Kluyveromyces lactis: one gene and its partner. The protein of the gene in region 1 binds, or shares a complex with, the protein of each later gene. Links are inferred from orthologs where the notes say so. Each region holds a gene or a part of one and is shown on either strand. Other genes may lie near its edges. The genes, in order: PAT1 and DHH1.

Region 1 (4,347 bases):
AACTCAAGACACGAAGAAGATGGATCAATACCAATAGCTTTCAACGAGTTTTGAATCAAATCACTTGATAAATGTGGAGCATGAACAAATAAAAGTTTTTGAATAGACGGAACAGATGCTTTTCCCTTGAGTTTACCTTTTTTAGCCTCTCCGGGCACAATTGTGCTTTTGGCTTTAACGTCGGCTTCTTTCAACCAATCTGCTATTTCATTTTCGAAATATTCCTTAGGATCAGGAACCGTAGTTGAAGTTTGGTTAATTTCTGCAAAGTTGGCCATGTCATAAAATTCACCAACTTTCATCGAATAATCATCGACAACTCTCTGTAGTAAAAGAATTTTTTGGTCAGCATCCAATAAAAGCACATTTCCGGCACTGAAAAATTCTAAAACAAGGTAGTACTTACCATCAGCAAAAGTAAACACAATTATTCTGTCATTTGGGATCTGCTTAACTGCCGTCAATCGTTTTTCTTTCAAATACGATCTCAATTTGGAAACAAACCACGAAGGAGTCGGGGGAATCGGCCTGGTAAAGTCAGTAGTATGAACTCGCAATCCGCAATCAATGACAACGTTTAACTTGGAATCGGGTTTTCCAAACTTTAATAAGAATTGCCTGTTTGAGTCAGCAATGTTATAGATATTTCTTAAGCGAAATCCTACAATTTGATTCTCCAACTCTTTGGATATCAGTTGCAAATCTAACGAACTCAATCTCTGTTTCATTTTCTAGTATCAAATCCAAGATTATAGTTTAGATATTTCGTACTCTCCAAGTTGCAGTTAAGTCCACTTTACCAGTCTGAGTTGATTCTTTTCGAGCACTATACTTGATTCAGATCTTCATACAAATCAGTATTTTCACTGCTAATCAGATTAAAATTATTAGAACTTGGTCACTGCTATTAGATCAGATATCTTTTATTACTTAGGTTTAAGACTAAACTGCTAAGCTGATATATTTTCCAGATAGCTGTACCTAGGATGTTAGTAGTATATGTCATCTTTGTCTATTCGCAATCACTTTATATATGCTGCTAATGAAGGAAAGAAAGACTACGTACGAGTTTGTATTGGAACTTTCTAAACTACCATGTTGAAAAATGTCAAATATTTGAAATCACATGACCTGAATTTCAAATTTTGAACTAGAAATCCTTAATATGTATATCATCTTGCACGGTGAAATTTTTCATCAAACAACAACCCAAAAATGTAATTCACTTAACAAGCAAAGTAGTTTCTATGCTCAAAAATAAGTGATCAGAGATATTCAGAGACCGTTTGTTGGAAGATTGCTTGAACGAAACGCAGGCAGGTAGCGACTTAAATCACATTACTTGTGTTTTTAAGAGAATATAATAGGATTTGTCGACAATTCTGATCTAGAAATCGATTTTTGCCCAATTAGTATAGGAGTCCTTATATTCCTGAATCACTGAACGATGTCATTCTTCGGTTTTGACGCCACGGGCCGAAAACCTCGTGAGAGGAAACAGCAAGGCGAGGAGGATTCTTTAGATTTCGAAGAAACGTATCAAGGCTTGGGTGATTATGAGCCAGAGGAAGATGATTTGCTCAATGATGAAACTTTTGGTACTGGAGCGGATCTGGGTACAGATTTTGATTTTGGTTACGGTAAAGGGGAGCTTGGCGCTGGTTCAGGTTCTGGTAGGGCACCAGCACCAGCTCCTGTTTCTTATGCATCTATTGCAAATGCCAAAATGAACAGACAAGCAGACTGTAAACCTGGTTTCGAACAATCGCTGGACATGCAACCTATGGAATCTTTATGGGGTAACAGCTCCGGTAATCAGCAACAACAGGTGCAACCTCAAGCCCCTACACAATTCCAAGCCCCACCACAGGTTCAACAGCAAGGTGCACCTAATGTGGAAGGATTGGCCATTCAATCTTTAGACAGACAACAACAGATGGCTATGCCGCCTCAACCTGGATTCTATGGTATGCAACCTCCGCAGAACCCTGGCTACGGCTTTATTCCACAAGGGTTCCCTCAAGGTCAATACCAGCAATTCCCTGGGCAAAATATTCCCCCTGTTATCCCTAATCAATTCGGTAATGCCGGATTTCCTAATCAACCTGTTAACCCTCAGGAACAATTCCAACAAGTACCACCGATAATGTACAATCAAACACAAGGAAACATTGCACATCATATGCAACATCCGCAGATGGCTATGCCACCAATGCAAAATCAACCTCCTGTTCAGCCCCAGCAGCCCCACCAACAGCAGTTACCTCCCCAATACTTGCCTCAACAACACCAACAAGATCAGCAGCACCAACAACAACACCAACAGCAACAAGTGTTCCAACAGCCTCACTCCGTTGACACTGCTGCTAGAACCCAAGCTGTCCGTTCTACTCAAGATTATGAGCATTCTAACTCTCCAACACCTGTGCCAACAGAATCAGAGCAGGTGCCAACTCCACCTCATACACCTAGAGAGTATCGCCGTGGTCCAAGGAGGTTTGGCACCCAAGATCCTTTGACTGATGAAGAATTGAGACGTCTTCAAATCAGACAATCGAAGGTTGACAAAATTCTCAGACACTCTGGTGTAATGACTCCAAGAGACAAGGATTTTATCACCAGGTATCAGTTATCTCAAATTGTCACTGATGATCCCTACAATGAGGATTTCTACTTCCAAGTTTATAAAATCATTCAAAGGGGTGTCACTCCATCTGAATCTAATAAGGATTCTATTGCTAAAGCATATTTAGAGCACTCGGGTCACAGATTAGGAGGTCGTTACAAGAGAACTGACGTCGCGTTACAGAGAATGCAATCTCAGGTCGAGAAGGCTGTTACCGTTGCGAAAGAAAGACCACAGAAAAGTAAGGGTGGGTTGGATAATGCCAAAGAGGGTGTCTTGGGTAAAATCTCAGCTACTAGGAACTCAAAAGCTCCAAGAAAGCAATTACAAATCCCAACTCACAAAGAGGATTCTCCAGCGTTGTCTTCTCAATCAAGCTCAGCCCTAGATGAGGTGTCTGAATCTTTGCAAGGCGTGGATATCAATGCCAAAAGAAGAAGATCATCTTATGCTTTGAGTTCTTCAGTGGACCATCGTACAGTTTTATCCCGTTCTGGTGGCCGTAAGTTCATTTTATCATTGATTGAAACTGTTTACGAAGAAGTGCTTGAACTAGAAGCTCAATTGAGATCCGGTCAACAGCCGGACAGTTCAAAATTATGGGAGGCGCTACACGTTGAGGACCACGGTTTTGACGTTTCTCCCTTCATTTCCATCTTATCTTTCGACAAAGGTATCAAGATTATGCCACGTATTATGAATTTCTTGTCAAGAGAAGAGAAGATTAAGCTTTTCAACTGCTTCTTCAAGGAACTTTCTCATTTGAATGTCATTGTCATATCATCGTACAAGACTACTCCACTTCCTACTAAAGATCAACTGAAGAAGATGGAATTGTTCCAATCTGTGTTTTTGAAGATCATTGTTTCGTTCTTATCCAGTTCAGCAGAGTTTTTGGAGGTAATGAGTCTACTAATAAATGTCATTCAGAATAATAACGTTTCTTTCATCACCACATCGCGTATCGGTTTGAATTTGATTACCGTGCTCATTTCACGTGCTGCTTTGATGAAACAAGATGTTAGCAGGGGCAAACTGTTGTCTTCTGTGGAAGTATCCACTTGGAGTGAAGTCTATGATAGGCTATTTACTTCTTTAGAAACAAAATTGACTGCAATTTTCCCAACACCTGAATATATGCAACACGCCATTTCAGTTTATGAACAGGATTCTACTCAGTATGATCAATCTTACATCTGGCAGTTCCTTGCATCGCTTGCTTTGAGCGGAAAATTGAACCATCAACGTATATTGATTGATGAAGTGAGAGACGAAATTTTCGAAGTCATTTCAAAGGCTGAAGAACTAAATGCCCCTTCTCAACAAGACCCTAAACTGGCTTATCAAAGAAACAAGTTCTATCAGGATTTGAACTTGTTCTTGAATGTCATGGGTCTTGTTGCTCGTGATGGTGAAATCACTGAACTGAAGTGATCGATATCGTGCGCCTCCTCTGATCAGCCCCTATCTCGATTGCCACTGTTAACTGTGTGCTACAAATTCGAAATCAAATCTCAAGGAAAAAAATTGCAAAAAAAAGTCAGCTTTATAGTATCTAAGTAATTCTTCTATTTACTATTACAAATGTATCATATTTCCATCTACTAGAACACTTCAATCCTTATGAACGCCGAAAGTGCAATATGTACCGTAAAGCCAAATGATTCGGTTCCTGTTCCTCACCCTGTGTTTCTGTTAAGTTGGAATGTTTAATTTTTGTA
Region 2 (3,583 bases), on another chromosome or scaffold:
GCTCAATCGTACAAGGTTTTCGAGTTGAATTCCGTTCTCTGGGGTTAAAGAAAGTCGAGCAATCTGAGTAGTCAATGTGGCCGTTTCATCTGTCTCCTGTTGCATCATACTGACTCCTGTAGGAGTAAGTGACATTGGAGCATCTCTTGTGGTTGGTGTAGTCCCGCTGACAATGGAAGATATATCTGATGTACTAGAACTCCCTTGAAGGAATGAAACCGTCTGGAATGAAGTGTCTCTGCTAATTGGACTTATTTCCTCACGGACCGGAAGCTTCTCCAACATCAAACTGAGTGTTGGACCATTTCCATTACTAAAACCTTTCGGTATTTCGTCAGGAGAGGAAGATGATGATGAACATGATGATTCTAGAGTCAAATGCTTCAAATTCTTCCGTTTCAAAGTCTTCGGTTTGAACAAACTATTGCACGATCCCTCTGCACTATCATTCGACGGTTCATGGTTTATTCGATTCAATAACATCGAGCCGTTTTGGGTACGTGTAATCATATGCTTTTAAGTCAATCTGACCTCAATGTTCACCACTTTCTGCGCCTCTTCTCTTTGGAGATATTAAAGTTTTACGATCAATAATAGATATTAATACCAAAGCCAAACTTACAGGCTCAGATGATTGTAAAATGAGACAAAAATTAAAATGCAACTAGAAACCCTAATAGAAAGACCCCACCAGGTTCCAAAAAACAACACACGTTGGCTCTTTGCAACACTCCTTGCTGCCTCAGTAATCGTCTCTTTCTTCTTCTGAGTTACTGCTTAGCCTTGTATAGGCTTTCTTTATCATTACTTAATTATTACGCTACTTTTTATTTATACGGTGCATGATAAATTAGTGTGGTCCTCAACGGAACCACGAATAGAACAAGAAAATGAAAGGAAGTCACTTCTGCTATTGAACGTAATGGGAATGCCTAGTTGCCTCGAGCATTCTCATTTCAACGTACGCTCATATGCGCTGATACATCTATATATATTTTTGTCTAGGCATTCCCATTATTCGCACTGCATCGTACCTTATCGCTACAAGTGATAGAGAAGCCTCACGGTGCTGAGCTTAGCCCTTGGCATATTTGTTACCCGGACATGTCTTCACTTTTCTTATCACGTGACAATTCGGATTTTGTGAAAAGGGTGATATCCGTTACCCGCACTTGTAATTGCTTCAGTAGGGTAACATTGCTCTTCCCTCCACTCTGGAAAGAAGAAAAAATTATGAAGTTTAGAATTAATTTGAACAATTATTACAGAGGCACAAGAGGAAATAAAAGTATAACATGTGTATTATGGTCATAGGTATAGTATTTATACATTCTACTCTGTGATATTAGCAACAGCATAGTTTCCGGATATACACTAATTGACTAATTTTATTAATTGACTAATTCATTGAAGCTTTATTTAAGAAGGTTTAACTTTATCTGCAAAGAATATTAAAGATAATTGATAATATGGGCAGCGATACAAGCGAAAGTAATAACGACTGGAAGACCCAGTTGAATATTCCTAAAAAGGATACGAGGCCTCAGACTGATGATGTGTTGAACACGAAGGGTCGTTCGTTTGAAGATTTCTATTTGAAAAGAGAACTTTTGATGGGTATATTTGAAGCAGGGTTTGAGAAGCCTTCCCCAATCCAAGAAGAAGCTATTCCCGTTGCCATTGCCGGGAAGGATATATTAGCGCGTGCCAAGAACGGTACTGGTAAGACGGCAGCGTTCGTTATACCAACTTTGGAAAAAGTGAAGCCCAAGTTGAACAAAATTCAAGCATTGATTATGGTTCCTACAAGAGAGTTGGCTTTGCAAACATCACAAGTGGTGCGCACGCTAGGGAAACACTGTGGTATCTCTTGTATGGTTACCACTGGTGGTACGAATTTGAGAGATGACATCATGAGATTAAATGAACCTGTACACATTTTGGTGGGTACGCCCGGTAGAGTGCTAGATTTGGCATCAAGAAGAGTGACAGATTTGAGCGAATGTCATTTGTTCATTATGGATGAAGCGGATAAGATGTTAAGTCGTGACTTTAAAGTGTTGGCGGAACAAATACTTGGGTTCTTACCAGAACGTCGTCAACTGCTTTTGTTCAGTGCGACTTTCCCAGTCACCGTGAAAGAGTTCATGGTGAAGCATTTGAAAAACCCTCATGAGATTAATTTGATGGATGAATTGACACTAAAGGGTATATCACAATTTTATGCATTCGTGGAAGAAAAACAAAAACTTCATTGCTTGAACACTTTGTTCAGTAAATTGCAAATCAACCAAGCAATTATCTTTTGTAATTCTACTAACCGTGTCGAACTTTTGGCTAAAAAAATTACTGAATTAGGATTTTCTTGTTACTACTCACATGCTAGAATGAAACAATCCGAAAGAAACAAAGTCTTCCATGAATTCCGCCAAGGTAAAGTTCGTACGTTGGTTTGTTCCGATTTGTTAACTCGTGGTATCGATATTCAAGCCGTTAATGTGGTCATTAACTTCGATTTCCCAAAGACTGCCGAAACTTATTTGCATCGTATTGGTAGATCTGGTAGGTTCGGTCACTTGGGTTTGGCTATCAACTTGATTAACTGGAACGATAGATTCAACTTGTACAAGATCGAGCAAGAATTAAACACCGAAATTGCTCCTATCCCATCTCAAATTGATAAATCCTTGTACGTTGCGGAAGATAGTTCCGCAGTCCCAATCCCATTCCCTTTGGAATCCCTGCCAATCACTGCAAATGCTCCCCAACAACCTGCAAATGCTGAACCGTTGCCTCCTCAACAAACTCAAGTGCAATTCCATGCTCCTCCTCAGCAGCAACAGCAACAACAACAGCAACAACAACAACAACAATATCAACAATTCCCAAACCAACAACAACAGCAATATGGTCAGCCTCTAATGCCGCAAAACTACCAACAACAGGCTTATCCACCTCAACCTTTCCCATCAAAAGGCTTCCCACAACAACAATACACTCAAGCTCCTCAATAATGAATTAAGCATTGTTTTAATGCTTGCTTCTAACGGAGCAGTTTTTTTTTTTATCTTAATTTCCCACTTTTACTACTCAAAACCCAAGTCGATCCTATGAGTTGAAATTCAGGTCCAATTTCAGTTCTTGTCATTATTTTGTATTTGTTAAAAAATTAGGCTTTGTCCACATACCACGCATATTGTACCTCTAGACGCTATTGAATATTTTCAAATACTCGACAATCCTTGCGCGTTTCAAAAATCTCACTAATGTTGATTGTACATTAACCAAAATTGACTATAACTAAATGTATCATAATCAATGCACTTTTTCAGCACACTTTATTTGGTTGCTCTATAGGGTCTTATTCTTTTTGCCCTGAATTAATATGAATCGTGGGTTTCAATACTAACCATCTCTACGAATTCCACTAAAGGTTCCTGGACTTTGTTCCCCACCTTTGCTTGTATGCCCAGGTTTGGAATACGAATGCCTTCATTTTTTCTTTTTCAGGCGCTATCGCCTGTAAATTTAATCAATCAGCTTCTTCCTCCATTCATTCCAATCGCCTGTCCTACTACGATAA

What was found.
Region 2: the proteins of PAT1 (region 1) and DHH1 are in contact, whole or in part, in a crystal structure (PDB 4BRW), measured with the Saccharomyces cerevisiae proteins. The link is inferred for Kluyveromyces lactis from reciprocal best matches to the Saccharomyces cerevisiae genes PAT1 and DHH1. Residues at the interface, in NP_010002.3 of Saccharomyces cerevisiae: Gly25, Tyr26, Gly27, Glu28, His29, Glu30, Leu31, Glu32, Asn34, Asp35, Leu37, Asn38, Glu40, Thr41, Phe42, Val46, Gln47, Val48, Gly49, Thr50, Asp51, Phe52, Phe54; in NP_010121.1 of Saccharomyces cerevisiae: Val265, Glu267, Arg268, Gln269, Lys270, Leu271, His272, Cys273, Asn275, Thr276, Leu277, Ser279, Lys280, Asn291, Ser292, Thr293, Asn294, Arg295, Glu297, Leu298, Leu299, Lys301, Lys302, Leu306, Tyr312, Phe358, Asp359, Ile409, Pro410.

What each region holds. Positions count from the first base shown.
Region 1 is NC_006042.1:2,529,501-2,533,847, forward strand, and holds PAT1 (deadenylation-dependent mRNA-decapping factor PAT1), read left to right. Parts: upstream 1-1,447; coding exon 1,448-4,060; downstream 4,061-4,347. Other genes in the region: RQC2 (Rqc2p), read right to left, coding at 1-728. UniProt on the Saccharomyces cerevisiae protein: Activator of decapping that functions as a general and active mechanism of translational repression and required for P-body formation. First decay factor recruited to mRNA, at a time when the mRNA is still associated with translation factors.
Region 2 is NC_006039.1:1,452,186-1,455,768, forward strand, and holds DHH1 (DExD/H-box ATP-dependent RNA helicase DHH1), read left to right. Parts: upstream 1-1,469; coding exon 1,470-3,014; downstream 3,015-3,583. Other genes in the region: mitogen-activated protein kinase kinase STE7, read right to left, coding at 1-510. UniProt on the Saccharomyces cerevisiae protein: ATP-dependent RNA helicase involved in mRNA turnover, and more specifically in mRNA decapping by activating the decapping enzyme DCP1.